Linked DNA regions of Rhinolophus ferrumequinum. The protein of the gene in region 3 binds, or shares a complex with, the protein of the main gene of each other region. Links are inferred from orthologs where the notes say so. Each region holds a gene or a part of one and is shown on either strand. Other genes may lie near its edges.

Evidence for each region.
Region 1: CACNA1C (region 3) and CACNG1 share a complex: the UniProt entries of both Homo sapiens proteins name them as parts of the calcium channel complex. The link is inferred for Rhinolophus ferrumequinum from reciprocal best matches to the Homo sapiens genes CACNA1C and CACNG1.
Region 2: CACNA1C (region 3) and STAC3 share a complex: the UniProt entries of both Homo sapiens proteins name them as parts of the calcium channel complex. The link is inferred for Rhinolophus ferrumequinum from reciprocal best matches to the Homo sapiens genes CACNA1C and STAC3.
Region 4: the proteins of CACNA1C (region 3) and CACNA2D1 are in contact, whole or in part, in a cryo-EM structure (PDB 8WEA), measured with the Homo sapiens proteins. The link is inferred for Rhinolophus ferrumequinum from reciprocal best matches to the Homo sapiens genes CACNA1C and CACNA2D1. Residues at the interface, in NP_955630.3 of Homo sapiens: Phe147, Pro148, Glu149, Asp150, Asp151, Ser152, Asn153, Ala154, Asn678, Lys1090, Gly1091, Asn1092, Tyr1093, Ile1094, Tyr1096, Gly1099, Val1101, Pro1104, Ile1106, Arg1109, Tyr1156; in NP_001353796.1 of Homo sapiens: Thr170, Asp171, Tyr173, Ile233, Leu235, Gly262, Ser263, Ser265, Lys270, Thr274, Ala327, Lys328, Gly329, Ile330, Glu366, Gln391, His392, Tyr394, Ile416, Gly417.

The regions. Positions count from the first base shown.
Region 1 is NC_046304.1:43,756,449-43,763,332, reverse strand, and holds the start of CACNG1 (voltage-dependent calcium channel gamma-1 subunit), read left to right. Parts: upstream 1-3,873; 5' UTR 3,874-4,074; coding exon 4,075-4,309; intron 4,310-6,884. UniProt on the Homo sapiens protein: Regulatory subunit of the voltage-gated calcium channel that gives rise to L-type calcium currents in skeletal muscle. Regulates channel inactivation kinetics.
Region 2 is NC_046293.1:56,296,318-56,303,556, reverse strand, and holds the start of STAC3 (SH3 and cysteine-rich domain-containing protein 3), read left to right. Parts: upstream 1-4,230; 5' UTR 4,231-4,431; intron 4,432-5,102; 5' UTR 5,103-5,103; coding exon 5,104-5,169; intron 5,170-5,433; coding exon 5,434-5,698; intron 5,699-5,942; coding exon 5,943-6,040; intron 6,041-6,257; coding exon 6,258-6,330; intron 6,331-7,177; coding exon 7,178-7,239. Other genes in the region: R3HDM2 (R3H domain-containing protein 2), read left to right, coding at 324-408, 1,288-1,628. UniProt on the Homo sapiens protein: Required for normal excitation-contraction coupling in skeletal muscle and for normal muscle contraction in response to membrane depolarization. Required for normal Ca(2+) release from the sarcplasmic reticulum, which ultimately leads to muscle contraction.
Region 3 is NC_046293.1:89,981,104-89,988,072, forward strand, and holds the start of CACNA1C (voltage-dependent L-type calcium channel subunit alpha-1C), read left to right. Parts: upstream 1-3,966; 5' UTR 3,967-4,597; coding exon 4,598-4,646; intron 4,647-6,969. UniProt on the Homo sapiens protein: Pore-forming, alpha-1C subunit of the voltage-gated calcium channel that gives rise to L-type calcium currents. Mediates influx of calcium ions into the cytoplasm, and thereby triggers calcium release from the sarcoplasm.
Region 4 is NC_046303.1:41,907,014-41,914,275, forward strand, and holds the start of CACNA2D1 (voltage-dependent calcium channel subunit alpha-2/delta-1), read left to right. Parts: upstream 1-4,260; 5' UTR 4,261-5,089; coding exon 5,090-5,184; intron 5,185-7,262. UniProt on the Homo sapiens protein: The alpha-2/delta subunit of voltage-dependent calcium channels regulates calcium current density and activation/inactivation kinetics of the calcium channel. Plays an important role in excitation-contraction coupling.

The DNA.
Region 1 (6,884 bases), on a different chromosome or scaffold from region 3:
GATTTATAATTGCAGGACAGGGGAAGGTGGGGGCGCTGATACCGCCAAACCATCACTCCTCCCCCCTCCTGGGGAAAAGCCTTCTCTGAGGGCCTGGGTAGACCATCCTGAACCCTTTCTCATCACTGTCATTTCCCCAACCCCGTTCCGCCCACACCTTTATGTTCATCAGGAACTTCGCATCTAGCTCAAAGCCCTCTTCTGCTCCCCAAGTCCTACCACCATCAAACTGAGCCACATCAACATCTGTGGGGCCGGCCATTCCAACTCCCTGGCCTCACAGCTCTGCCTTCTCACCTCCCTTGCCCTTCATCTCCAACCTGGATCTTCTCATCAGCCCTGACTGTCCCCCCTGTAATCTTCAGGGCTACGTCCTCCTCTCTGACCGCAACTTCCAGTGCTCCCATTTCCTTCACCACTACAGCTGTTCTCCAACCTCATCAAACCCTTCCGGGCCTTGACCTCTCAATTTCCTCCTAATATGTTGACACCTCCTCGTTGCCGGGCATCCTAACCAGCCCAGACATGGCAAGTCATCATTTAAACTCACCCTTGCCGATGCCCTCAGTTCCCTTGGGCCCTTTTCTTTCTATCTTTTCTCTCCTGAAAGAGCCTCAGCCCTCTTTCAATCTCACCTTCCATCTTCCCCATCCCTGCACCTGAGCTAAGAAGTGATGCCAGAGAACATCAAGCAAGTTCAAAATCGATGCTTGTGGTAGACAGAATAACGGCCCCTAAAATGTCCAAGTCCTAATCCCTGGAACCTGTGACTATGTCACTTGACACGGCTAACGGGACTTTGCAGGTGTGATTACATTAAAGACAGGGAGGTTTTCCTGGATTATCACCTTAACCACACGGGTCTGTAGAAGGGAAAGAAGAGGGAGGCAGGAGAGTCAGAGATGAAGATGCGATGACAGAAGCAGAGGTCAGAGTGATGCGATTAACTGCTTTGCAAATGGAAGGCTTCTGGACAGAGGCACCGGATAGAATTGGAGGCAGCAAGCCTGATGCAACAGAGAGTCCCAGATGAACAGTGACAGGAGGCAGAGGGAGTGGAGTAAAAGGTTGGGACCAATTGGGTGGTGCCTTGCTTTTTTATACAGGATCTTAAGATCAAACACGCAAGGCCATTTCTTAGCCCAATTAAGCCTGAGCTCAAATTAGATCAGCGTATCGCCAAAGAGGGGTTACTGGGCCCCCACCCAGGCGTAACCTGGTCCTAGCTCTGAATGAGGCCCACCTCTGGGAGGTGTTTTCTTTCCCCTAGTTATGTCTGGTCCTTCTTGGGAAAAGATTAGTCACTTGGGATAAATGGAAACGGGTTCATCTGAATGAGGAAAATACAGACAATTACCAAATTTCTCAGTGTGGCACATCTACTTTGAAGATAATGTCCTATCTCAGGAGGCTGCTGTGACAGGCAGGCAGAACTTGGTCGCAGAGGTGACGACAGTGCCTTCCTGGGGTGTCCCTCTGCACCTGGAGGTAAATTAGCCATTAATTCAAGCTGTCCCGGGGCTCCGTGTGGCCTTAAGCTACATAGAAATGTCCTTTGGATCACCCAGTGGAGTAAATTATCTAAGCTTCTATCTCCTTCTTCTTTCCATCCATGAGTCCATCATCCATCCATCAGTCATTCAACAAACATTTATGGAGATCCCATCCTGGGCTCAGACCTAGGGGGCTTCTCTAAGGGGACCCAAAATGAATACATAATACGGTCTCCCCGTCTCTATCTTCCCATCAGAGAAAGCTGATCCATCTGCAGTCTATCGATAATAATAACAGCCATCCTGGATCAGTTGCCTACTGTATTAGTCAGCTCAGGCTCCCATAACAAAATACCACAGGCTGGGTGACCTTAAAAACAGAAATTTATTTCTCACAGCTCTCCCTTCAGTCCTAGATCAGGGTGCCAGCCTGGGTGGGTTCTAGTGAGAGTCTCGGCTTTCAGCTTCTCACTGAGTCCTCACACGGTAGAGAAAAAGAGAGAGAGGAAGCCCCCTGGTGGCTCTTCTTAGAAGGACACTAATCGCATCACGGGGCCCCACCCTCATGACCTCATCTAACCCTAATCACCCACCAAAGGCCCCGTCTCCAGATACCATTACACTGGGGTTTGGGTTTCAACATATGAATGGGGGGGGGGCGGATAATTCAGTCCATAGCACCTACCACAGGCTAAACTGATAAATCCATTATCTCTACTCCTACAGCAGCTCCCCAGCCAGCTGCCATTGCCCTCATTTTATAGATGAGGAAAGGGCAGTTTAGAGAGGTTAATGGCTTGCTGGAAGCCATACAGCTAGAGATTGGCAGAGCGGGGACCTGACCCTGGGGCTGTCCGTTCCATCACTGGCAGGCTGACTCCCAGTCCCTAAGAAGCCATCTTTCCTGATGACCTGGAAAAGGTAGGACCTGTGTGGAGGACGTTGACGTCCCCCAGCCCTGGCTCCCAGCAAATGCTGGAGCCCCCTTCCTGGCCCAGCAAGGCCCTGGGAAGTGCCAAGCGAGCAGCCTGGCAGTGGCTTCCACGAGCAGAAATGGTCTGTTTGAAGGAGCTTTTAGTAAATGAGAGAGAGAAAGGAGACCTGCCTGCAGTGCCTGGCACTGCCAATGCCGTGGGAGATGTACAGCCCGACTACTTCTGAAGGAAGAGACATCAATCTTTCCTGGCTGGGTTGGAGGACTCAGGACCCCTGCATGTGGCACAAACCTGCCCCCCACTGAGGGAAGGTGCAGCCTGGCTGTCTGAGGAACCTGCAATGTGGGTGCAGCTGACACTGCGTGGACCCCGGGTGTCGGGCCCCCACCCGGAGGCCAGGATTTTGAAGCTCAAAGCCCTGGCCAGCTCAGGGGTTTATTTGTGGCTATGCATTAACCTCAGATACACCCCAAAAGAGGCACCTGGTGAACTGAGGAAGAAGAGGCCGAACCCAGGAGGGGTGTAGGGGCCTGGAGACCAGCCTGGGGGTCATGTGGGCAGACAGGCCCTCGGATGGTGGTCCCAAACTTTCACGTCTTCTGCTGCCTCTGCTCACCCATTAGCCTCACAGTAGTCACCCATAAATCAATCTACTTCTGTTCTTTTTTACTTAAATGTATTTATTTTGTAAATGGAAACATAACTGGAAAATCTTTATTACCTACAATTAATAGAGGTAAAACTAAAACAGTAAAACCAAAACAGAACTACAGTCAGGTCCCGCTGGATTCCGTGTCCTCTCCACGCTTTGATTTGCAAGTGTCAGCAAGGTGGTAAAGACTTACTAACCCTGAACGGGGCTTCTCTTCTGGACCAAATAGGAGAGACGGGAGAAGGGAACCAGAAATAATGTTCTCAGGCTGGGCAGTGTCCGGCCACGCCAGGCCCAGGAACCACCTGAAATCTTCCTGCCGTTTGGGGGATGGCATAGGCCTTGAGCTAAAGCTCTTGCCTGAGTAGTGGGCTCCAGAGGCCCTGGCGGGGCGGATCCCCAAGGTGTCCCTAGGCAGGATTGTGGGTCCCCCAGGCCTCCCGGACAAGGACCCACTCACCCTGCCCAGTGTGATAACCGAAAGCTGTGCCACCGTATCTCCCAGGGTCCCCTGCCCTCACCCAGCAGTGCCCTTTCTCCTTCAGGCCAGAGCAGGCAGACTCCACACTGAGTCTCCCTGTTGCTTATGCCTCACTCCCTCCCACCTCAGGTGTCCTGAGCTGCCACTCATTGTAGGTCTCCAGTCACCATCCAGATCCTTCCCTCCTTGCCCCTCCCTGGGGTATTTCTGGCTCCGTGAGAGGAAGACAGCCCTGAAACCCGAGAAGAAGTCATCCTCGGTGACGGTGGCGTGCCTGTCCATGTGCATTAATAGAAGCCTCCCTCAGGCCCCTGTCACGTCTGGGCAGCTGCTCAGCCCCGTCCAGTGTCCCTCTGCCCCAAGGCCAGCCCACTCTGGCTCGGCCAGGCACACTAAACTTAGCTTCCACCTCCTGCACCATCACTGCTGCCACCACCCCAGCCTGGCTGCCACCTGCCCAAGGAGACGCTGCCGCCGGACTCTGTCCAGAGTACACGCTCCTCTGCGACCACCATGTCCCAGATCAAAGCCCTGAAGATCCGCGCCACGCTCTTCTGCATCCTGGTGGGCATCGTGCTGGCCACGGTGGCCGTAGTGACCGACCACTGGGCTGTGCTCAGCCCCCAGGTAGAGCACCACAACACCACCTGCGAGGCGGCCCACTTTGGCCTCTGGCGGATTTGCACCAAGACTATTGTCATGAGCGACAGCAAGGACAAGAGCTGCGGACCCATCACCCTGCCTGGAGGTAACGTACCCAGTCTCTGTCCCCTGTCCCTGCTTCCTGCCCTTTCCCACCCCCCTGGAAAAGTGGCCAGTGGGAAAGAGGGTAGGTTTTCCGGCCTTAGAACAGCCCTCTGCGTCCGGGGAAGAGGATCTGAATTGCATGAGGTTGTGCTGGCCGCCAGAGTTGGGCTGTAAAATGAGGGCATTTGTCTCTCACTATTTCTGTCTTGCTGAGGCTTGGGGCTTTTTACCCAGAGCAGAGGGCTGCTCAGGTGGGACGAGAGGCTCAGGAAAGGAACCATGGACCTGCCAGACTAGGGGCTTCTGGCCCCAGCGGCAGTCACTTTTCTGGGTGTGCCTAGCTCCACTCTCTCCGTGCAAGGACAGGCTAGTGGCCCAATGTCCCCAGGGAAGGGACCTGTGGGGCTGGCTTGTTTCTTCAGGGTATAGAGGCTTCTTTCCCAGCCTCCAGGGTATAGACAGGATCAGCTGCAGAATTTATAGGGCCTGGTGTAAAATGAAAATGCAGGGCTCCTTGTAATTATTTTTAAGAATTTCAAGATGGTGACAGCAGAGCATGAAATCAAGCCTAGGTCCCTTCTGGGTGCAGGGCCTTCAGTGACTGACTACACAGGTCACACATTTGTGAAGCAGGTACCTGGCTATAGATGAGCCACCTGCCTTTTAGTCAGAACTGTCGGTCCTTCCATACATCCTCTCTTGGCTCAGACCCCTTCAGAGTTGGAACGCATTTTCTTCCTCTATAATATAAGCGCATTCCTCGATGTCCTACCATGTGACCAAACGACACGCTGAAGGTGAATTCCTTCTCAATAATACCTGGGTGGGGTATTCTGCAAATTAGGTCTCTTCTGCAAATGTGGAACCCTCTGCACTCATAGCAAATAGAGCACATGCCGAGGGAAGAACGCTGCTTGGAGAATCAGAGTCCAGGGCTCTAGTCATACATTGACCATAACCCCCCCAAATGACGACGGTGGGGTGGGGTGGGGTGACAGCCCATCACAGCCTCTGGCTCCTCCTATGGTGCTTGGGGTCAGCAACATGAAACCCCTTCCAGTGCTTACAAATATCACTCCAAGGCGGCAGGGCATTTGGGTGAGTGTGGTGTCCCACCTGGTTTTCAGAATATTTCCTTCTGTCATTCGACTGGGTGTTCCTTGAAACCTGCCCTTCTAGGAAATCAGTGCCAAGTCTGCACACATCTTGCACTGTATGTGTGGGACAAAGGAACCCAAACCCTGTGCCTCCCTCTTCCCTCCTTCGTCTTCCTTCCCCTCCTGCTGGCTCCAGGGAACTCCTGCCTTGCTTATTCCCACCGGATACTCGCAAGACTTGTAAATACCCAGCTGTCTTGGAAACATTGCGTCCCAGGGCTGAGGGCTTTAAATGACATGAACATGCACTGGAAGGGTATCACATAGCTCAGATGCCCACGCCCCTCGGCCACTGCTGAGCACACCCGTAAACAGATGCATTATCCAGCCAACTCAACTGGGCAGGGAAGGGCAGGGCAGGGTGAGGCAGATTCTCCAGGGACCATGCACGGAAATGCACTGATATGGTCCTGTCCACCTGTCCTTGGAAGCACCTGCCTTTTAAAGTCTGGTGAGTGTACAGAGCAGATGAGGAGGGAGGTGAGCTAAGTCTATACAAGGAAGAGACAGATTGGTGGGAGGTGACCGAATCTGCCACAGGGGACCAACAGGCATGGCTTGGCCTTGAACCTGAGCTGAGTCTATCTCTATGCCTTCTCACTCTGATCCAGAGTGAACCATACTACTCGTGAGCACTGCCTTACCCCAAACAAGCTTCTGACATGCATCCCTGCCTTCTTCCCTTTCCCTTTTCTCTACAATCTTCTTTCTTCCCCAGCCACCCTCCCTGTGCTCTATGGGTTCACTGTTTTCTAGATAGATGAAAAGAGATCACACATGTTCTCTGATTTATTATTAACAACAACGATAATAATAACAACTGCCAACACAGACAGAGCAGTTATCTGGAAAACATTGTTTTCAGTGCTCTATAGATATGAATTACGAGAATATCAGAGAAAAAAAAATGACAGAGTAAGAACCTCCAAAAGTCCTCTCCTCCATAAGAACAATGAGAACATTGGCAAAAATGATCAGCATAAACTTTTTCAGAACTCTGGAAATTAATCAGTCTTGCAGCAATCCAGCAGTGCTTATTCTAGAGAAACGGGTGAACCTCAGTAAGAACAGTGAGCTTTGTGGTGTTTTAACTTGCTCTATTCTTATTTCCACCCCACCCCCAACTCTGTCACAGCGTTGACAACCCCCAGCCTGCAATCACAGTGAAAACCAGCAGCCTGGTAGCCAGCCATCATCAGAGGGGACAGAATGGGCTGGATCTCTTCCAAAGTGTCATTCCCAAAGAGCGGTCATTATTTGATCCGTCTGGTGATTCCCTGCAAGTCCCTGTTTGCAAGGCTGTCTTTATTTGACCTGACTCTGAGCTCCTCCAGGGGAAACAGTCTTTTCCCCGGGCGGGGGGAGTGGGGGGTCATTTGTCAAAAACAATTAGAAACAATTATTTAATATCACAACTGC
Region 2 (7,239 bases), about 34 Mb from region 3:
AGACACCCCCTTCGCACTCGGGCCCCTATCTCTGAGCCATCTACCTCAGCCAGCTGGGTGGACAAAGGAGACAGCAGACAGAGAATGGACAAAGTGGAAGGGCCTTACCGCACTCCAGTACCATTCATTCCTTTCTCCCCACCCCGTGGCCAAGAGGGAGGGGCTCTTTGTTTCTCAGTGGCTATTTGACCAATCTGACTACCTGGTGAGGGGGGTCCTCAGGGTTGGGTGCTGCTCCTTCCTTAACTTCTCAGGCAGACACTGGAATGCGAGGCAGTCCATGTTATTTACCCAGGATGAGAATTATCTTTCTGATGTTGAAGGGACAGACTGGGTTGAAACATGGAAACCGGAGCAAGAGACAAGCACTCAAATCTGCCTCCACTGACCTAGGGACGACAGATGTTGGTGAGTGACAGGATGCCGAATCTCCAAGAGAAATTGCTCACCCCTCCAGCCCTACATTACTAGCCCAGGATGGCAGGGAAAAGCCAGCTTAGGGTGGGGAGTAGAAATGGTACCCTTCTGTACTCAGGAGCAAGGAGAAGTTGCAGAAGTGAAGTATCTCTCTCCTCCTTACCAAGCTATTCCAGGTGCTGGGGAAGATGATGGTAAAAATTGGGAATAACACAATGATGGGGGTTGCTGAGCCTATTATCAACAGAGTCTTGTGGCAGTGGCCCTGACTTTAGTCAAGGTTGTCTACCTTTGGTAGTCCTTGACCTAATTTAGGAGAAGCTTGACAAAGGAATGTGGAGGAGTAACGCCTCCTGCAGGCCTTCCGTACTAGGCATACGAGATCTGTCAGGATTTCCCCTATTTGGAACAGTTTGCTAAACAAGGAAAGGAGGGGAAACTGACTTCCATAGATAATAAAAAAGGAATCTACTGGGGCCAGCCACTGGGAAGGGAGCTATGGAACATATTTCAGATTACGCTACTGACTTTGTCAAAGAACATCAGCAAAAGCCACACTCCTTCACAGTAACAGCTCCCTGTGAGAGAACTGAGGTGCGGGTCTCCAGATCTTCAATCTGGGATTCTGGTTCCCAGTCTCTCCTTGCCTGCATCTCTAGGCTAGAGGAGAAAGGTTCCTTTGTTTCTCCTAGTTGCCCTGCTGAGAGTCTGGATAGTGAGGAGTTGGGTTGACTGGGGAAGGAGGGAAGGGCGAAGTGAGAAAGGCCAGGCTTTTGAGAATGTTGTATACAGACATGGCCAGCTGGATATTTGTGCAGTCCTTCCTACTCTAATCCTCTCACAACCTTGTCCTCTCTCCTTCCCTTCCAGTCCTGGGGCGGGTGCTGGAGGTGACAGATCTCCCTGAGGGCATCACTCGTACCGAGGCGGACAAACTCTTCACTCAGCTCGCCATGTCCGGCGCCAAGATCCAATGGCTCAAGGATGCCCAGGGGCTGCCTGGCGGAGGTGGGGGGGACAATAGTGGGACTGCCGAGAACGGCCGCCACGCGGACCTCGCTGCCTTGTACACCATCGTGGCTGTGTTCCCCAGCCCCCTGGCGGCCCAAAATGCCTCCCTTCGCCTCAACAACTCTGTGAGTCGCTTCAAACTTCGAGTGGCCAAAAAGAACTATGACCTGAGGATCCTGGAGCGAGCCAGCTCCCAATAAAGGGAGGAGGGGAAGGGACCAGCACAGCAGGGGAGAGGGCAGGGTGGAGGGTGTTGAGGGATCCTGATAGACCATGGACAGAGACCGAAAGGAAGGTGACAGACACTAAACTGGAGCCTAAAACAGTAGGGATGAAGATGGAAGCAGACACTCACACTGGCACTGGACTCCTTCTTACTCCCCTGCCATGGGTCCCCTCTTTTTCCCTGGTTGGCCTTCCTCTGCTTCCCCCTCCTTCCCATCCTCTTCTATCATTTTTGATCTCTTCTCCCACCATGAAATTAATTTCTTTGATATTTTTTGGTTAGGTAGAATTGGGAGAGTCCTACACTCCCCTGTTCTCCTGTTTCCTGATCATCCCAAGCTCCCTTTTCTTTTTTGGTCTTTATGAATATATTTATATGGACAGAATTAAGAAAAATGAAATTGATTTCCCTTTTCTCTCACTTCCCCCATCTTGTCTCCCCAAACCCCAGAGTTAAAACTTGGGCCTTCCTCCACCCCTACTCCCCAGAACACTTGTATATTGTTTGTTTGAGGTTCGTGCCGAAGTAACAGATACAGTATTTAATTGCACATAACAGATGTTTGCTGGGTATATTCACTGTAAATTTTATTTAATCTGAGTTTTTGTTTGTTTAGGGGGCATCATTTGGGGGGAGGTTGATTTTGTTTTTAAATATAAAAAAAAAAATCTGTCACTGGACGTCAGTCCCTGTTTCTGTGTTGCCGCCCTGGGGTGGGTAGGGGTTGGAGGTCCTGGGTAGGTACAACCCCACGGTTATTGGAGGGATTTGATGTGGGTTTGGATGGCTTTCCTAGCATATGCACCTATCTCATCCTAACACTATTCCCTGTGTCCCAGCCTCCTCCTTACACATAGTTCTGAGGTACCTGGGTCTCTAATGGGACCTGGGTCCTGGGTGCTCCCAATTCTGCAACTAACTCTGATTCATCAAGCACACACTTCTCAACTCGACACTTCTGAGTCTGTATCAATAAAATAAGAGATGTGGACTGACTAGGTGACCCCTGAGTTTCCGTCCTCTCAGTTAATTCTGTAACACTCATTTAGGGTCCTTGAGCCTGAGCTGGGGACGGGGAGTTGAGGTCCAGACCTGGATTCAGATGCGCCTCATACCTGTCCGTCTAATGTTCAGGGATAGAAGACTTGGGCCTTTAATCTTAAAGCCAGGGGATTGGGTTCTACCTGGCAGGAACAGAAGTGGATGTTTCTTACAATACAAAGCTCCGTCCGTTAAATTTGCAATGCCCAGATGCCATATTACCCAGATGTCCTATGCAGCTGAAGAAAGGTGAAGAGCAGAAGTCACCTGCCTACAAGATGGAGCTTTTCCTCTGAGGCTTCTCAAAACTATCCTAGTTGTTTAGCCTGTCAGACCAGTTGTTAAAGAGCCTGTAGGCACAGAATCATCCAGCAGCCCCCTTTCAATCTGAGCCACCCCTTAAAGAGAAAAAAGAGCAGAAATGACAAAGAACATCGCCCCGGAAATCTCTTGGCTCTGGGTAGGAGTAGCTCTGGTGAGGCTCGCTCCTCTGGGGCTTGTCTGACCCAACCTCCAAAGTAATCCTTTACTTTTTAAAGATACAAGGGATAAAGCAACACTATGTCGCCACCTCCAAATTGCTCCCCTACCATGGGAGTATCTCCCTTTCAGCGGTGTCAGCACAGAGCAGAAGGCTGCATCCCTGGGAGATAAGAATGCCAGATAGCTCACTGAGCCATCAGTTCATACACCGGGGCCTCAGAGGAGGGAAGAGGAATCGGGATCAGAATGATTCAGGAAGGGTGAGGCTTGGCCATCCTACCACCTCCCAGAGTTTGCAGTTCTCATGAGGAAGGGATATTCCTTACAGACGGTAAAAATGCCCTGCGTGGCAGCTGTTTGTTACCGTCTTTCCAGTGTGAACAATAGCATCTCTACCTGATCATTAGACCCTTCCTCTTCCAGAGCCCTCAGATGGGGGTCACAACCTGGCTTTGTTTAATAGCTCTCAGAAATACCTTCACCCTGAGGACAAGATTTTAGAGGAATAGGGGGAAAGAAGTCTTTGGGAACAACTGGAAGGAACACAGCAGTACTACACGTTCTTCACTCCCATAAGGACAGCAGCATGTACCCCTCCATCTACCCGTAGAGAAGAAAGCAATCTGGCTGATAGGAGAGCTCTGAAAATTCAAATTTTCTTTTCTTCACCAGTTCCCAGCCTTTTCCTTCTTAAAGGCTTGAAGGCATAAAAACACATGGCCACAAGAAGACAATGGCTGAGAAGTCAAAGCCTAGTTCCTGAAGTAGGTCCAGGGAGGGCAGAATTGGGGAGGTGTTTGGGCCTTGGAGAAAGGGGATTGGGAAAGCTGTTTGTAATTCGTCTTTCCATTAGTCATCTAAAAATCACCCACGAGTACACAGCATGAACACTGTCTCTTCCTGAATTTAGCCCATACTGACTTACACACCATAGATGAAAAACCAAGGAACGGCAGCTCTGGGGGATGGGAGAGGTTAGGGTCCAGCCCTGCCCAGACCTCTCCGTGTCCAATTTCTCTGTGTCAGCTGTGTCGCTCAGCTGTCCACTTTCCTCTAGCCCTGTCATTTCAGCTTTGACACCAAGGCAAGAGGCTAGGTCTACAAATACCGCCTGGGTAGCCAGTGTGAGTACAGAGGGTACTGGGGGGGCTTAGCCCCCAAGGAAGAGGACCAGTCCTCCAGCCCCACCACCAACACCGCAGGGGCTCCTTCCTCCCTCTACTGATTGTGGATTGACTTAGGGAACCCCAAACGTAAGTTGCCAATTCCCCTTTTCATTTCCAGGACTATTCACCCCGGCTTCCCCAATCCTGAGTCTGTTCAGCTTCATTTCTTTCCTTGTCTGTGAGTAGTTTGGGTTTTAGGAGTGAAATTACTGTTCTACTCCTGGACAAAGAGCTAGGACTGGAGGGGGGGTGGGGGTTGGGTCAAGGGAACGGAGTAGTAAGAGAAGGAAAGGCTCCTATTACTCTGAAAACTTAAAATAGCTGAGGCCTGAGGCAGGCTGGGAACTAGGCCCTGGGCCTCCAGGGCTCAAGAAAGAGGTTGGGATAACAAATGTCCCAGCGCTTCCCTCCACACATCAAACCTCTCGAAGAAAGATCTCGGGAAGGTGTGTGTCATGTCTCATTGCCCACAGATTTTGTGAAACAGGGTCTGTAGGAAAATCCCTGGGGTTGCCCTTCAGGGTGGAAGGATGGATATCGTTAGAGGAACTGGTTGGGAAGTTCTTTTGTCTGTTGGGCTTTTCTCTGGACCTCAATGGAATCTTCCTGTTCATAAGCCCTATGAAAGGATCTCTGTTTAACCAAATTTCTCCCAAAGCCTCCCCTTCAAGGACCACCCTATTACGAGGGATAGGAATAAGGGAGGGAAGAATGGCAGTCAGAGATTAGATTTCATAGTGGGGTCCAACCTCTTGCAGGATGACAGAAAAGGAGGTGCTGGAGTCGCCCAAGCCCTCCTTCCCAGCAGAGACTCGGCAAAGTGGGGTGAGTCTGGGCCTCTGACCATGGGGTGTGGGGAGCTGCAAAGCCACCGCAGCCCTTGAAAAGTGCTTGAATTGATGGCACTTATATGCGACTCATTTATTGTTAGGATGCTAGCCAGCACCTGCACCCGCCAGTACCCCCTAATCCTGGGGTGTGCCCCTTACCCCAGGTTAGGAACATGTCTAGTTAGCCTCAGCCTTACCTAGAGAGCATGACAATTCTTTTAACATTGGGTTTCCTTCATTCCCTCCCTCCCTCCCTCAGCTACAGCGGCTGAAGCAGTTATTCAGGAAGGAGTCTACAGGGACAAAGGAAATGGAGCTTCCCCCAGAGCCCCAGGCCAACGGGGAGGCAGTGGGAGCTGGGGGTGGGCCCATCTACTACATCTATGAGGAAGAGGAGGAAGAAGAGGAAGAAGAGGAGCCACCCCCAGAACCTCCGAAGCTTGTCAATGATAAGCCCCACAAATTCAAAGAACATTTCTTCAAGAAGCCCAAGTTCTGTGATGTCTGTGCCCGGATGATTGTGCGTGAGTCATGAAGGGAAGTGGAGAACGTGTGATGTCGAAGGCGGGACAGGGGGAAAGGGTTTAGCAGAGGAGTGTTTGTATAGCAGACAGGCTGTGGCAAGAATTGGCTTTAAGAAAATAACTGTTAGAGACCTCAAGTGTGGGCTCCCAGACAGAAGAGGGACCTGAGAGCTAGAGTAGCAACAACGGTACAAAGGCAGAAGGAAACAGGAGCCTCACCGAAATGTTCTCCCCTTCTCCCAAGTCAACAACAAATTTGGGCTTCGCTGTAAGAACTGCAAAACTAGCATCCACGATCACTGTCAGTCCTACGTGGAGATGCAGAGATGCTTCGGCAAGATCGTGAGTAGACTGGGGAGCCAGACAGTAGGAGGGAGCAGACAGGTGCCAGCTACCCCCTTGCCAGTCCCTCCTCAGGTCACCCCATCCATTTTCCTGCCTTTTCTTTCTCAGCCTATCTCTTAACTTCGAGAAGGGGTGAGCACTCATGGGAGAGATGGGGTTCTGGGCCCTACTGTGTTCTCTCTAATGCTTTCTCCCATCCCATCTTACCCTGCAGCCCCCTGGCTTCCGTCGGGCCTATAGCTCCCCACTCTACAGCAACCAGCAGTACGCTTGTGTCAAAGATCTCTGTAAGTGCCCCCCCTGGGACCTGAGGGAATGGGCAAGCCTAGATAGAGATGGTTTCAGCACCATCTCTAGCTTTGGAAGCCAAATTCTGAAACAGAAAGATTCTACTTCCTGTGGTTCTCTCTCAACCTAATATTTGAGCCATTTTGGATGCAGAGTCAATACTCCCGTTTGATAGCTGAGGGAGATAAGATTTAGCTAGATCTCCACACAGCTAGCAAGAGACAGAGCCAAGACGAAAACCTTCATCTGCCTAACTTCAAAATCTGTGCTCTTCATATGCAAAACCATTTTTAAGTGAACAAAGATTCTGACAATCCTCATCCTCCTTACAGAAGAATTCCAGACTCAGGGCCAGACCAAGAGCTGTGGACACCCTGGGCACATTCTTAATTTGGCAACCCTTACAAAACGTTATTTGACAATTGGCTCCACATTTATTTGGAGGAGAGGCTGAATTCTGTGAGGAGCATGGGTGTAAAAAAGAACTCACTGGTGGTGGCACCCCAGCTGGCACATGCCACTTAGTGGAACAAAAGCCAGCAGTTAAAGGACCTCTCTACTTAGAAGGAGAATAGTGATTCTGAGAATGCCCTGCCTAGAAGGAGTGCTGATAATATTTTTCTCGATCACATTACATTTCCAGTGATGTTTTTGGAGCTCTTTGTAGATTGATGACTTGTGTTTGCCCAAGTGACCCTTCCCTAATCTGACAGACACACACAGACACACGCACACACGCACGTATCTGCTCAGTCCCACCTCTCCCTTGCTTAGGCGGTGTCTCTGTCCTCCAAGCCTTGCTCTGCCTCCCCAGTAACAGCTTCTTTCTTCTTCCATTCCCACTAGCTGCCGCCAATCGCAATGACCCTGTGTTTGAAACGCTGCGCACTGGGGTGATCATGGCAAAC
Region 3 (6,969 bases):
GGCTAGGGAGCAAGGGGAGGGCTCTTTCTTGAAGGTATGGGTCCCCAGGGAAGAGAAAGGCCTGCCTGGCAAACTGGCTTTCGAAGCCCTGGGTCAGACAGGAAAAAAGAAAAAATGTACCTGCAATTCCACTTCCCAGAGAAAGCTATTGTCAACATTTTGGTGTGAGCTCTTTGTAGTCGCTTTCCCTGTTCAAATATATACCTGTCTTTAAAAGAAAAATGAAATCATAGCATGCATGATATTTTATATAATATTTTATATAGAAGACCCTGTTTTTATTGTAGTGTAAATAGTCTTTTTTCCATTAACCCTTAATATTGTTCACATCTATGTAAAGATTTCACCCTCGTTTATCTATAAAGCATAGACTCTGAGGATAGACTGCTGAGGTTCACATCCCGGGTATTCCAACATTTACTACCATGTTTCCCCGAAAATAAGGGTCGTATATTAATTTTTGCTCCAAAAGACACATTAGGGCGTATTTTCAAGGGATGTCTTATTTTTTCATGTACAACAATGTACATTTATTCAAATACAGTCATGTCATCTTTTTCTGGAACATCGTCATAACGTACTAAATGTGTCCGTCTGGCTGACGATCTTAACTGGGGCTTATTTTTGGGGTAGGTCTTACTTTTGGGGAAACACAGTAGCTGTGAAAACTTGGGCAAGAGAGTTAACTCTTCTGTGCTTTAGTTTCCTCACCTGTAAAAGGAGGATAAGAGTACAGTGATACCTCGGTTTTCGAACGTAGTCTGCTCCAGAAGACTGTTCGAGTTCTGAAACATTCGAAAACAGCCGACAGCTAGGCCTCAGGATCTTGCACTTGGCGGAAGCTGCATGACATGTTCGACTTCCCAGGCGTGTTCGAAACCGAAACATTTACTTCCGGGTTTACAGCGTTTGGCGTTTGTAAACCGAAATGTTCGTCAACAGAGATGTTCGAAAACTGAGGTACTACTGTACTCCCCTAGTTGTTCTGAGGAGCAAACAACTTTTTAGATGTGGATAATCTCTCAATGTTATTATGTAGTCAACCTTTTCTGTTGGATATTTAGATTGTTTCCAAGCTTTTCTCTCTTATAAATACACTGTAATTAACAAATTCAGCGCACTCTTAATTGCTTCCAAAGGAAATATTTGTGGTCAGTTAAGGAATCTTTTCCAGAGTGAATCATGTGCTCAACGTACACCAACTGTCCATATGCACAAAGCATTATGCTAGGCACAAAGAAAAATGAACACAGTTCTCTTCCTTAAGACATTGAAAGCGCAGTAGGGGGCAGATAAAAGGCACATTCGTGTACAAGTACAATACTATACAGAAATACAACACTATGTAGATAGAGTTATAGACAAATGAAGAACTATGGGAGAGGAGAGAAGAGGGAGTACCTTCAGCCAGAGAATTAAATCATGCAATAAAAAAGAAAGAAAAACTTCCTCCTCTGCTCCCACCATCTCCCAAATACCCAAATCAGAATTCAGAATGGTTTCTGTCTGTCATGTCGAGAATTTGTTACCTCAACAGAGAACACCAAGGGCTGTGCTCCAAAGTTAGAAGCCGAGATATGGGCTTACATTGCAAGGCCAAACATTTAGGAAATACCTTTTTCTGGAAGGGAAAGAACACATTTCACAGCTGAAAAGACAAGTGAAAAATGAAACTAAAGAAGCATGAAGGTAATATTTACTTGCTAGATTTATACAGTGCCTACCTTTAGAAAAGCCTGGCTATAAATCCAGCCTGTGCCCCCCTAACACACATACACTGTTCTCAGTTATCTGGCTTTTTTGTGAATTCTCTGCAGCATATTTTACAATCATTTCACTGTCATTTTAAACAGCACACTTCCCTCCCCCAACCCAGCTCACCCTGTCATCCCCTCTAAGACCAAATGCAAATTTGGAGGCAGCCACTCCTGGCCTAAGTCCAGGCTCCACAGTTTACCAGCTGGGTGACCCTGGACATGTAACTTAAGTCTCTAAGTCTCAGCTTCCACATCTGTAAAATGGAGATAATAATAATACCATCTACCATATAGGATTGCAATGAGGATTACATGAGTAATGCCTGTAAAGCACCTATCACAGCACAGAACACTCAGTAGTGTTAGCTATTATTATTCCTGTTCTACAGCTTCGAAGTTGTGTGTGTGTGTGTGTGTGTGTGTGTGTGAGAGAGAGAGAGAGAGAGAGAGAGAGAGAGAGAGAGAGAGAATCATTCCTGGAGTGTTTGGGTAACAGTAAGGAGGCTTGTGTGGCTGGGCAAGCAGGAGAGCAGTAGGAGAGGACACGAGAAGTTGTACACACTGTTCACGTGGGTCCGTGCAGGCTGCTCTAAGGACCTTGGCTTTTCCTAAGTGACATGGAGTGCCGGTGGCGGGCTCTGACCAAAGAAGTGCTGTGATATGACATTTTAAATAGATTACTCTGGCTGTCAATTGAGAATAAACCACAGGAGTGGTGGGGAGGGGAGACCAGGGAGAGCAGCCTCTGTACAAACCCAGGTGAAAGAAGATGTTGGCTCAGATCTGAAGGCAGCAGGGGAGGAGCTGAGAAGTGGCTTTATCTGAAGGTAGAACCAAGGAGATTTCCTGAAGGATTAGATGTGGGGGTATGAGAGAAAGGAGTCTGGAATGATTCCTATCAAATGCAATGGGGAAGGCTGTGTGAGGAGCAGGTTTGTACAGAAAAAAGGAATTCAGTGTTTGGATATGTTAGGTTTGAGTAGTCTATTGATCACCTAAGTGGAGACTGAGGTTGGTTGTATAGCCTCGCATTCAGGAAGAGAGGTCTGGGCTGGAGATACAAATTGGATATAGACAGCTGCTTAAATCCATGGAGATGGATAGGATCAGCCAGGGAATGAGTGGAGATGGGAGGTGAGGTCTGAGAACAGGAATGTGGAGGCATACCCAAGAGGGAGTTGCAGGCTCCTCTGCCAAGGCTCAGGAAGCCCACTTTAGAGGATCCAGGGCCTGCAGGGGGTGCGGTGGTACTTGCTGTGGCTGCGATGAGTTGGAGAGAAATGTTTGCTTCTTATGGAAGGAGAGGCGCTCAATAGATTCCTGCCAGAGTGGCAAAAATAATTAAGAGAAGTAGGTAAGGATATCCTAGTAGAGCACGTGCTCGGCTGCCTCCAAGGAATTAGAAAACCTGGGTCTATTAATCTGTTCAGACATCTGGGCACCACTGCTTTCCCTGCGAAGCTCCGCCCTCCGCTTCTCTCTCTCTTTCTCTCTCTCTCTCTCTCTCTCTCTCTCTCTCTCTCTCTCTCTCTCTCCCTCTCCCCCTCTCCCCCTCTCCCCCTCTCCCCCTCCGCCCCCCCGTCTTCCGATCCTAGCCTCTGTATGTCTGTGTGTCACTTCTACAACCGCTTTGATTATAATTGATCAGGCAGAATCACGGAATCACGGCTCATTTTGCTGTTTTGTTCAGTGGCCGGGTCTGCAGAGACTCAGCGAGTTGGGCAGATTGTAGTCCCCCCTGTTGGAATTCCGCTCACAGAGGCCTTCCCGTCGCGGACTGCCGCGCAGGGACGCGGGGGTGCTGCCGAAGATAACGGAGGGAGGAAGTCTGGAGACCGAGGGGCGCGCGGGGGGCTGTCGGTGCGGCGCCCGCGCGGCCCGCCAGCGCCCACGATCGGCCCACGCCCCGCCTCCCGGGGGGCGCCACGCGCAGCCCCCCGTCGCCGCCCTTTCCGAGCCCGCGCCTCGCCTGCGCCCCTTGACGTCATGTGGGCAGCAGGGCTGGCTCCGTGGCGCAGCCGAGGGCCGAGCGGGTGCTCACTGGGGGCTCGGTCCCTGCCGTGCGCCCTGCGTCGTGCGCCCGGTCCTGCGCGCCGCCGCCGCCGCCGCCGCCGCCGCGCCACATCTGGAAGCGTTCAGCGCGTCTGCCTCCAGCGCGCCGGGCGGGCGGGCGGGCGGGGAGGGCGCGGGCGCGGGCGCGGCGGCGGGCTGGGCTGGAGGCGGTGAGCGCGGCGCTCTCGCGCGCCCCGTGTCTCCCTCTCGCTGCCTCTGCAGAAACAGCTCCTGCCAGAACGGCGCTCGGCGCGGCGCGGCCCGAAGCGGCGGCGCCTCTTCCTGCCTCCGCGCCTCCGGAGTTGCTGGAGCTTCTTGACAGAGAAGAGCCGAGCCGGGGCCTCGGGAGGACTGGCCAGGAGAGGCGGAGACGGCTCAGCCCTTGCTGGCCCGGGCGGCCCCTGTCTCCCCGTCTCGGCTCCATCGCTCCCCTTGCCCCTCCTTTCCGCCTCTTCTCTCGCTGCCTCTCTCGGTTTATTTTTTCAAACCGTGTAGCCGCCAGAGGTGCGGTGCTAAATTCTTGGAAGGGGCCCGGATGTACTGAGGATGCATTACAATTTCACTCAAGGAGGCAGTAGTGGAAAGGATCAGTTTTTGGTGTTTGATGCAATAATGGGAATCAGGTAATCATCAGAAGGGAAGAAGAAATACCGCAGATCCACGGCTTCCTTGAATTTTGCACGAAATCCGCCGACCTCGGAGGAGGGATTAATCCAGACCCGCTGGGGGGTGTTTTGACATTTCTTCCTCTTTGTCGCTTCTTCTCCTTTTAAAACAATTTTTGGTCAATGGTCAATGAAAACACGAGGATGTATATCCCAGAGGAAAACCACCAAGGTAAGGCTGGCCCCATCGCCCGGCCAGGGATCCAGCGCGGGCTCCCGCCCTCCCCGCCCCGCTCCGGCTCGCCCCGCAGCGCTGGGGCACGTCCCTGTGGAGTTGCCCGGGGCGCCTCCGCCTTGCCGGAACCGCGGGACCGGGGCCCGAACCCCGCAAGAAGGAGCGGAAAATTCCCGCCCCTCCCCCTCCCGTGCCGGCTTCTCCGGCGCATGTGTTTCCTATGAAATTCCAGGCGAGGGGGAAAAGTTCCCCAAGTGTCTGCTTCTGCCTCGCTTTCTCTTGTTTGCCTGGAAAGCCCAACTGCCTTGCCCGCCGCGCGTGGGGGAGGGGGCGCCGGCGTCGCCGAACCCTGCTCTCCTCGAGCCCCCAGCCGGGGTCCCTGGTCTAGCTTGGGGCGCGGCTGGGAGCGCGCGCGCGCACCCCGCACCAGGCCGGCCCAGCGCCGGGGCGCCCTCGGGCGTCCCGCTCGCTTCCAGGTGCCCCTGCTCTGGGCCGCGCGCTCCGGGGGGCGAGTGGGGACCCAGCATGCAGATACAAGGCTCGGCGCCTCTCTCCCCTCTCCTCCAGTTTCTACCCCTCTCCCCGGCTCACCTACACCCACCCACCTCTCCACTGCCGTTGACCCCGAGGGTGCCCACGCCCCGTGTGTTCTTATTCGCGCCCACATGTGGGCTAGCACCTGAGGATGTAAGCGTTTAGAATTCGGGCGGTGTGTGGGCTTTGCTTTTTCATGTTAAGAAAATAATAAAAGGGTGTGCCGAGCTCACGCGGCTCCACACTATTGCCCAGTGTTTTCCGAGCATCTCCATCCTTGGCATCAAGTGTCACCAACTCCCCCTGTGAGGGGGAAGGCTTTCAGGTAACTCTGCACTTCCGGGAAACTTTCTCCCCCCTCCCCGCCCCCTTATTAACAAGTTACTGTGTTTTTGTGTGTTGCTCGGCAATTAAGGTCTTGATGGAGTGTAGAGGGGTGGTCTTGCTGGAGTGTGGCAGCCTCCAGCTCCATCTGTGTGTGTTCTCCATGGCTTTCTGTCTTTTCGGGTGTAGTCGCTCCCTTTTCTCTCCCAGTTTCCCAAGCCTCCCCATTGACACTCTTCCTTTCAATCTCTTCTCCTGAATACCTGTCGCTGTTGGTCTTGTTACTGGGTTTACTTGTTACTTCAGGTGATCCTCTGAGGACCAGCCTGGTGGAGGGGTTGTCTCCATGTTTCTTTTTCCCAGCCTCCTCCCTTCTTTTGCCCTCATCTCCACAATTTGGGGACAGTGTCCCTACCCTTCAGAGCCAGAGGCTGCTAGGCATCCTACCTGCCTGAAACTGATTTCGGGGCAAATTGTCCCTCTGCTTTCCAGCTTCGGTGGCAGTGTGGGGATTTTGGCTTCTTTTGGTAGAAACAATTTTCTCAAGGGTCATGGGTTCTAGGGTGAGCCAGGGCTTTGGGGCCACAAGGGCAGCTTCTGTCCCTGGATTTCTCTTCCCATGCCCCATCCCTCACCTGCTCCCTAGTCCCCTGCCTAGCTGATGGTATAGCCAATGGATTGGGGGGAGGGAATGAGAGAGACAAAGGAAAGGTTGATACTTGTGAAGAGTGGGGATGGGTTTCTCCCCTCCAGGTTCTTAGCTCAGGCTAAGCAGCCTTGAAGAGGAGAGCTCAGTAGCGTTGTCCTCACTACACTAACAATGGCAGGATACTGTGGTAATGATTATTATGCACAGAATAATCTGAAATAGTTTACCAGTTCTCCTCTTAGTGCAGGATCAACCCTTTCTTAGCCCTTGTCCTTCCTTCCTGTTGCCTCTTTGTCCCCCAGCAACCCCCTCCTCACACACAAATGCAGGGAGCAGACATTAAAAGTAGGAGCCTACCCTGGAGAGGTTTGTAGGAAGATGGAGGGAAAGGCAGCGAGCGAGCAGGGCTGGGAACTCTGCCTTTCCAGCAACATGCCGACAAACACTATGGCAACCTGAATTCCAGTTCTCTCCCTTGAAGCTGCAGTGATTATATAATTCACAGGAGCAGTTTTGCCTCCATTCCTGGATGCGGTTCTCAGGTGAAAAACCACCAGGATCCCTGTCTCCCCTCCATTCCCCATCCCCTCTTCCTTGGTCTTTGGCGTTGCCCAGGTTTTTTTGTGGGAGGGGAGGAGGAGAGGAAGAGGGTGATGGAGGTGGGGAGAGGCAGACCTGGAAGGGCATGGATATTCACGAGGAAGGGGTTGCTGTGACTTAATAACCAAAGGGGCAATGAAACATAATTGGAGGTTAGAGTTTCAGGAGCGAGAGGAGAAGCCAAATGATTACCTCAGATCGGTGATGGTGATG
Region 4 (7,262 bases), on a different chromosome or scaffold from region 3:
GCCTCACTACAGAGTAGTACACATCAGCAACATAGCTTTTTAAAAAAAATATTATTGATCCTCAGTTAGTTGAATCTGTGAATTCAGAAGCCACGGATGTGGAGGGCTGACTGTGTACTCAGCTTGATACTCAAGATTCAGTTTCTTGTTTTACTCTGGACTATCTCCACCCAGGTTGGCAAATTTATGAAATCAACTCTTTTCTTCCAGCTAGCCATGGACATTCTGAGAGAATCATGTTCTTAAAGAGAAGTTCACCTCAGAGTAAAAGTGAAAGGAATTGTGACTAAGAAAAAAAAATCAATGTATATAAATTCGACCTATAGACAAGCTTTGTCCTTCTGTGCATTCATCTAACGGATTAATTGTATATTATCTGTACAGGAAGTGTATTTGACCCATAACATATCCAAATTCTTATAGAAATATGCTAGTTTATAATGGTGGTCTATTGTGTTTAAATATGTTTAAAATATCGACTATCAGAAGAATAACATCAATAATCTTTCTCTTTCATGGAAGGCTGCATTTACGCAATTAAAAAAACTGTGAAGAGTGCCAATAGTTATTAGTTTTGGTCTTTTAGATGTTACAGTTTACCTCCTATTAACCACTTCCCATTGAGTTTTTGCTGCTCTTGAATGTTTGGATAAATAATTGAACCTCTACTTCCCTTTGTCTGTGTAGGCCTAAGTAAATGGATTCCATATATTCTATTACTTGCAGTTCAAACAACGAGAAACCTCCAGCTCTATTTATGGAGTGGAGAAGGATCTTATCCTGAAATCTAGATTTTAGAGTCTAACATTTTTTTTAATGGGAAGTCAGTCATGCTGTAGGTGCTGATTTTGTTTGAGATGCGCTTGTGTTTAAAGAAGGAAAGAGGGAAGAAGAGCAAAAATAAAACAAGGAAAAGGAATGGATGAAAAATTTCATGATTAGCAGAGATTAAAAAATAGAATAGCATAAAAGCTATTGCTTGGTTGAAGATATGATGGTATTTAATATAATAGCTAATATTTCTACGTACTTAAATTAGCAGTTCACCATTATAGGATTCTGATGGGCAAACAATAAGCTTCCAGTAAGTACTTGTTTAATGTTATTTTGTGTCCATTTAGAAAAGGTATATTTTTTTTCTTCAAAAGTTTAATGGTTGTCTATCAATATCTGTATTATTCGGGTCAAAGCAAATATTTTTCTAAATATTTGTCTTGTTTGTAGGAAATATTTGACCTTATTTCTTCATCTAAGATAGGGTCTTTTACCTTGTTGCTTTCTATGGAAGCTTCTGTGTGCTGCTTTAGTTTAAAAATACTGAATGCGAACACTGACTTGAGAATCATTACATATGCTCTTAACCATTCTCCTGGGAATTGATACTTTTGAGTTCCTGTCTTTCTTATTCCCATCTTCTGAAAAGATTCCCCAAGGACATAAATAATTGAAACTTTCTGTCCGTTTTTAACTTTGGCTTTCTCTGGCACATATCTATGTGTGCACAGAAGCATGATATCGCCTCAAATCACAAGTATTTTCAATTATGGTTCTTATAGTATTATCTTTATCTCAGAGACAGGTCTTATACTTCTATTTGCATATAAACATATAAAGCCTGTTGTCATGGTTTTCTCCTTATATTTTTTAAGATGTGCCAAAAAAAGAACTAGAAAATTAATTATTGCCCTTTTAATTTTTTTTGTCTAACAGCAATCATTTTCTTTTCCAGTGTTTGTATGTGTGCTTTTGTACATGAAAAAGAGAGGGGAAAAAAAATCTCAATAAGGTTACTTTTTCCTATTCTTTAAGCCAAAATGTTGAAGAAATTAGATTTACTAAAAAAAATCAGAAAAACCTACTCATACATACTTTGGAAAATACAACATAAATAGACTTTGATGCTACCACTACGCATAGTGTAACCTTAAACAAAAAGAGAGTGAACATTTCATGGCTCCTAGGTTAATATTCTTTGTTCATTTTTAATTAACATAAATTTATATGAACAAATTATATATTTACATGTAATAACAATTGAGAATTAGCCAAAAATTACAAACATAAATTTGTCATAAAACTCGCTGCTTTGCATGAACTAAATCTCCTTTAAACTTTCTTCTAGATATGATTAAACACAAACATCTCAATTCTTCACTAATCTTTATTTTGTTACCAGAAAATTTTCTCTTAAATGAATAGTAGGTTATTGATTTCTGACTTCTTGCTCACTTACAGCCTATAAGACAACTTTTATCATCAGCCCTTATGATTTATCAACAGTTTATCTTGAATGGCAAATTTTGAGGAATTAGCAAAATTTTATTAAAATGGGATAAGGTCTGATTTTTGTGGAATTTTCCAAAATAACAGAACTGAGCAGAAACAATGCATTGTAGATGGCTATGGTTAATCCAATAGATACATAATACTATGCTGTGAAAATGGTCCTGTATTAGTTATCATACATAAGAAATAAAAGCCACATTATGAATATCCTCATTAAAAAGGTTTAGGTTGATAAAAAGCACTAAGTAGCAACCTCGCAACAGAGCACTAAGCAATGATTTAGGCTTAGAGTTGATAACCAACCCTTTCAGAAAGAATTGTAGACGCAATATCTTTCTTCAATGGCTTCAGATATTAGAGAACAGAGTGCTTCATCAGAGTGATCTAAAGAAATTGAGATTTGGCTCAAAGGCCAACAAATAATGGCTGACTTACCTTCTGTAGAGCATGTTCTCTTAAAGACATAAAAATGGAAATGGTCTACCTTAGTAGGAGGTATGGTGTCATCATTGAAATAATTGACAAAATATATTATAAAAATATTTTTATGTAGTGAGGCTATTATGATAACATATCATGTAGACAATAATGAGCATCTAATTCTGCTATTTGTAATCCCCATGCTGGGGAAGAAAATCTGCTTTTGCATCATTAAAAATTGGAAAAAAAATGATGTACTTGACTATTTAGTTATCTAATTTTGGCGTGAAAAGCTATCTTCAGTTATATAAAATATCCTTCTGACTGAGCTTTAGTTCTCACTCGCATTACATCCCACTTCATCTCTCATTTGCTAGCTCCTGCTGCCACATTCTCTATGCTTAGCATAAAACAAACGAAGTTAAGTCCCAGTGGGGTGCCTTTTGTGAGGTCACTCAGAATAGGAAGAAAGAAACAAAGAGCAAGAAAGAGATGTAGAGCATATAACAAAAAAATAACAACAAAACAAAACAAAAAACAAAGAAGGCACCAAAAAGGAGAGGTGATTGGGAAGAAAAGATCACTGGGTCAAGAATCATAAAATTGTACACACTTTTTAAACGTTGCTAGTAAGTAGTAGCATTATCAGTTCTTCTCTGTTTTGGGAGATTGCCTACAGAGAGCTGGAAAATCAATTCCAAATTCATAAAGGTCTTTCTCCTTTCATAAGCTCCTTCTGAAACTAAAGAAGGACTAATTAAAAATTTTACAGCCACATCATAATTCTGGCCTTGACGCATATGCAGGATGGCCATTTTTTTTCCCATCAGGGATCATGTTCTCTGCACTTCTTGTCAGAAGTGCTCTAATGCACTACTGTAGGGAGCTTAAGAATTGAAGATATTCAAGGAAATCTTTCCACCCCTGGCACAGCAGTTCCTTCTTGAACGAGGCCTCTGCGGTCTGAGGGGCCTAATCCAAGACTCCTGTGTTCTTTCTACGAGAAGGCCTGAGCTCGCCCTACCATTGGAGATGGTTCGGCATTGCTACTCCTCCTTATTTCTCTCCTCTCCCTTAATTTTTCCTCCGAAATTCAGGTGCATTCATAAATTGCTATCCTTTTCGTGCCTTCACATTGGCAAAGTGAACTCACCCTGCAGCAACCATGTCAAGGCAGGGCAGCCCACTGGCCAGAGCAGGGCGTTTGGAATCTTCTGGAGATAGTTTCACTAGGGTTGTTTGTTACAAAGCCCTTTTCGCAGCACTGTCTTCCCCGGGTGGAGAATCGTCCCTGAACCCCTCTGTCCTACCCAAAGTCAGGACAGCGAAAATTTTACAGCACCAGGTCCTTCCTCCTCTGACGTCCTCGCCAGGTGATTCACAGCTGGACGTGGGGACGGTGGCACAATTTGCATTCAGCCACACCAGAGGGCCTGGCCTCTGGCACTGTCGGGCAAATACACAGTGCCACCTGGTAGGGAGTCAAAAGTGGTGCTTTAAAATGCAAATACAAACCCCTCCTACATTTGTTGTCAAATCACTTCGCCACGATTCCTAGCTAGGCAGTGGACACGGAGCCCAAGAGGAGGGCTGGGGGAACGCTGCCTGCATGTGCAAAAATAAACCCCGAAGACGCAAGCCAAATACTCCGCTGGAGCCTCTGTAGCCCGTGGATGCCCGCCGGGAGGCTGGCTGTCCCCCGGGAGCCCCGCGGGGCTGGGTCCGCTCCCCCTCCGCACGCGGGGCGGCGGGAGCCAGCCGACGCCGACTTTAGGAGTTCCTCTCTGCCTTGTATGGAGGGCTGCTCCGGGCCCGTCTCCGCCCGACTGCTCTGACGCCCAGCCCTCCCGCTGCCCACCCCCAGCCACCTCCCTCTGACTTGCCGGGAGAAGCCAGACGGAGCCTCTCCCAGCCACAAGTCTCTCCGCCTGCCATTCCCCCATTTCTACATCCACCCCCAACCCCCTCCCAAGCGCCGTCACCCCTCCTCCGCCCCCGCCTCCGCCTCCTTCTCCTCGGCAATCAGGGGAATAAATCAGGGAAGAAATCGAGAGGGAGAAAGAGAGATAACGAAAGCGCTCGAGCGCCGGCGGGCTTGCCCAGGTCTGTTTCCAAAGTCGCCCTTGATGGCGGCGGAGGCGAGGCAGGCGCGGCGCGGATCCGCCGACGCGCGCTAGTGGGTCCGCCCGCCGCCGCCCCTTCCCCGCGCCGCGCTGCCCCCGATCGCCCCCCGCGCCAGTCTGCGCCCAGGACCCCGGGCGCGCCAGCCCTCCTGACGTCTGCGGTCCGGACAGCGAGTGATCCTTCTCCTCCTTCCGCGGTTTCCAGCACCGTTCCTTCCCCCGGCTGGGGAGGGAGGCGGGATTGATCTTCGATCGCGAAGATGGCTGCTGGCTGCCTGCTGGCCTTGACTCTGACACTTTTCCAATCTTTGCTGATCGGCCCCTCGTCGGAGGAGCCGTTCCCTTCGGCAGTCACGTAAGTCGCCGGCCGGGCAGGGCTGGGAGTGCGGGCCGCGGAGTGCTGCGGGAGCTGGGCGTGGGGTCCGTCCCCGAATCGCGAGGCTTTTCTGCCCGTGGGGGTGGGGAGCGAGCCGGGCTTGGCTCCGGAGAGGCCGAGCAGGAGGTGCGCGCGTCTCGCCGCGGGAATGCGTTGCGATCCCGCGTTTCGGAGGGGCTGGAGCGGTGGCCGAGCCATCCCGGGAAACATCCGCCGACGACTCGCGGCTCCTCAGCCCATCTATTAAAGGATTCTTTAGACTTAAAGAGTTTACATGCACTGGGGAAAAAGTTTCCAGTCAGGTAGTCGCTCTCATCAAACACAGTTTAATAAAAAGTTGTGTTGTGGTTGGGTGTTTTACAAATAGGTAATTTCAGGCTTGTCAGGATAGTCTGGACTCTCCCGCACTTTGCCTCTGGGATGCTCTCTAATTGCTGTGGTGTCCAAACTCGTTTAGATCTTAAATTACCGGGCGCACTTGACAGCCTTTCCGCTCTGAAGAGTGCTTGCTCCCGGCTGCTGAGAGTACCGTCCGCCCAGAGGGCTCGCAGGTACTAGGACCCCGATATCCAACCCCCGCAATCCTTTATTTGAAGCATCTAAGTGCCAAAGACACGCGGTCCCTGTTCTTAGAATGAATAGAACCTAGTCTTTGAGGGAGGGACTCGGCGTTTCTAGAGTCTCCTGCAATTTTCTCTTTTTTAAACATTTCTAAAATAACTTAAAGAAACTCGCTGCTATTCGGAAAATAGTGTTTAAAGGTAGCTGTCTATGCAGTCACGGCAGGAAGGGAATGAAAAATACTAATTCTTCTCTTAGGATGGGAAAAAGAAACAGTCAGTGGCACATAAAAATACATACATATCTTTAAATGCGCTGAATAGCCAGCCTATCAGGCATTCTGGGAAAGCATTTATTTTGGTTCTTGAAGCTGCTTTAAAGCTTCTGAGAGTAGGTAATCTTAAGTGGATGAGTCACTTTAATGCATTTTACATAACAAAAACAAAGCCCAAGGTAGCCTTCCCGGAATTTATGATGGAAATTATTTGCTGTCCTTTGTTGACTGAGTGCTGAATACTGGAGTTTTTGGTGGATACTAAGAGTGAATCTTTACCAGTTGAAACCCTGCAGCTATTATTTAAGATTCAGCTTAAAGTATTTATTACATTAGGTGTCAGTGCAAGCATCTGAATGATGCACATTCTAACCCAGAGAAGGAAAGTCTCTAATATTTTTTGTCATTGATTTACAGTCATGTTCCTTTTTAGGTAATCTTCCATAAAAATGACTGCAGATCCTTTTTTTGTTATGAAGCGAAAGGGTAAATGCTATCGGTAGATCTTCGTTTAATTGGCAGGATGTTCCAAGCGGATATTTTGAATTATAAAAAGAGTAAGAATTACCCTAAAGATGCTTCAAAATTACGTACTCTTATGAAGAAATTACACTTTTATTTATTTAAGTTTTTACTCTTTTTCTAGCTTGGCCTATGCAGTGAGAACTCAAGGACTTCCTTGCATTTTTTGTCAAATAAAAAAGTGGCTCTTTAAAAAGGAGTCAATGTGTTCAGTTTACACATTTTTAAAGCAGTTATTTTTAACTGACAATTTATCAATATTTCTATAATTTGGAGGGAATACATCATCACACCATTGGGGAAAGCTATGACTTTAAACTACAACAAAATACAACCTTTTATTCCTGAACATACCATGGTACAATGTTAATGTAAAAATTTTTATTGTAAGGACAGCTGCAATAAATGATTTCCTACAATTAAAATAACTCAATTTTCATGGTCAGAAATTCATTAGAGACAAGAAAGAAAATAAATAGTGAACAAAAATAGGGATTAGGAAACCACAATTTCTTTTTTTTTGAAAGGATTTGAAATTCATTTTTTAACAATGGAAATTTAAGATGTCTTCAAATTACATGAAAAATTATTTCATGAAATGAGAGCTTAATAAGAGATTTTGTAGTAAGTCAGTCTCCTGTAGATAATATTAACAATATTTTGGTAAGACTTCTGTATCTTCAACTATTTATTTGAAAAG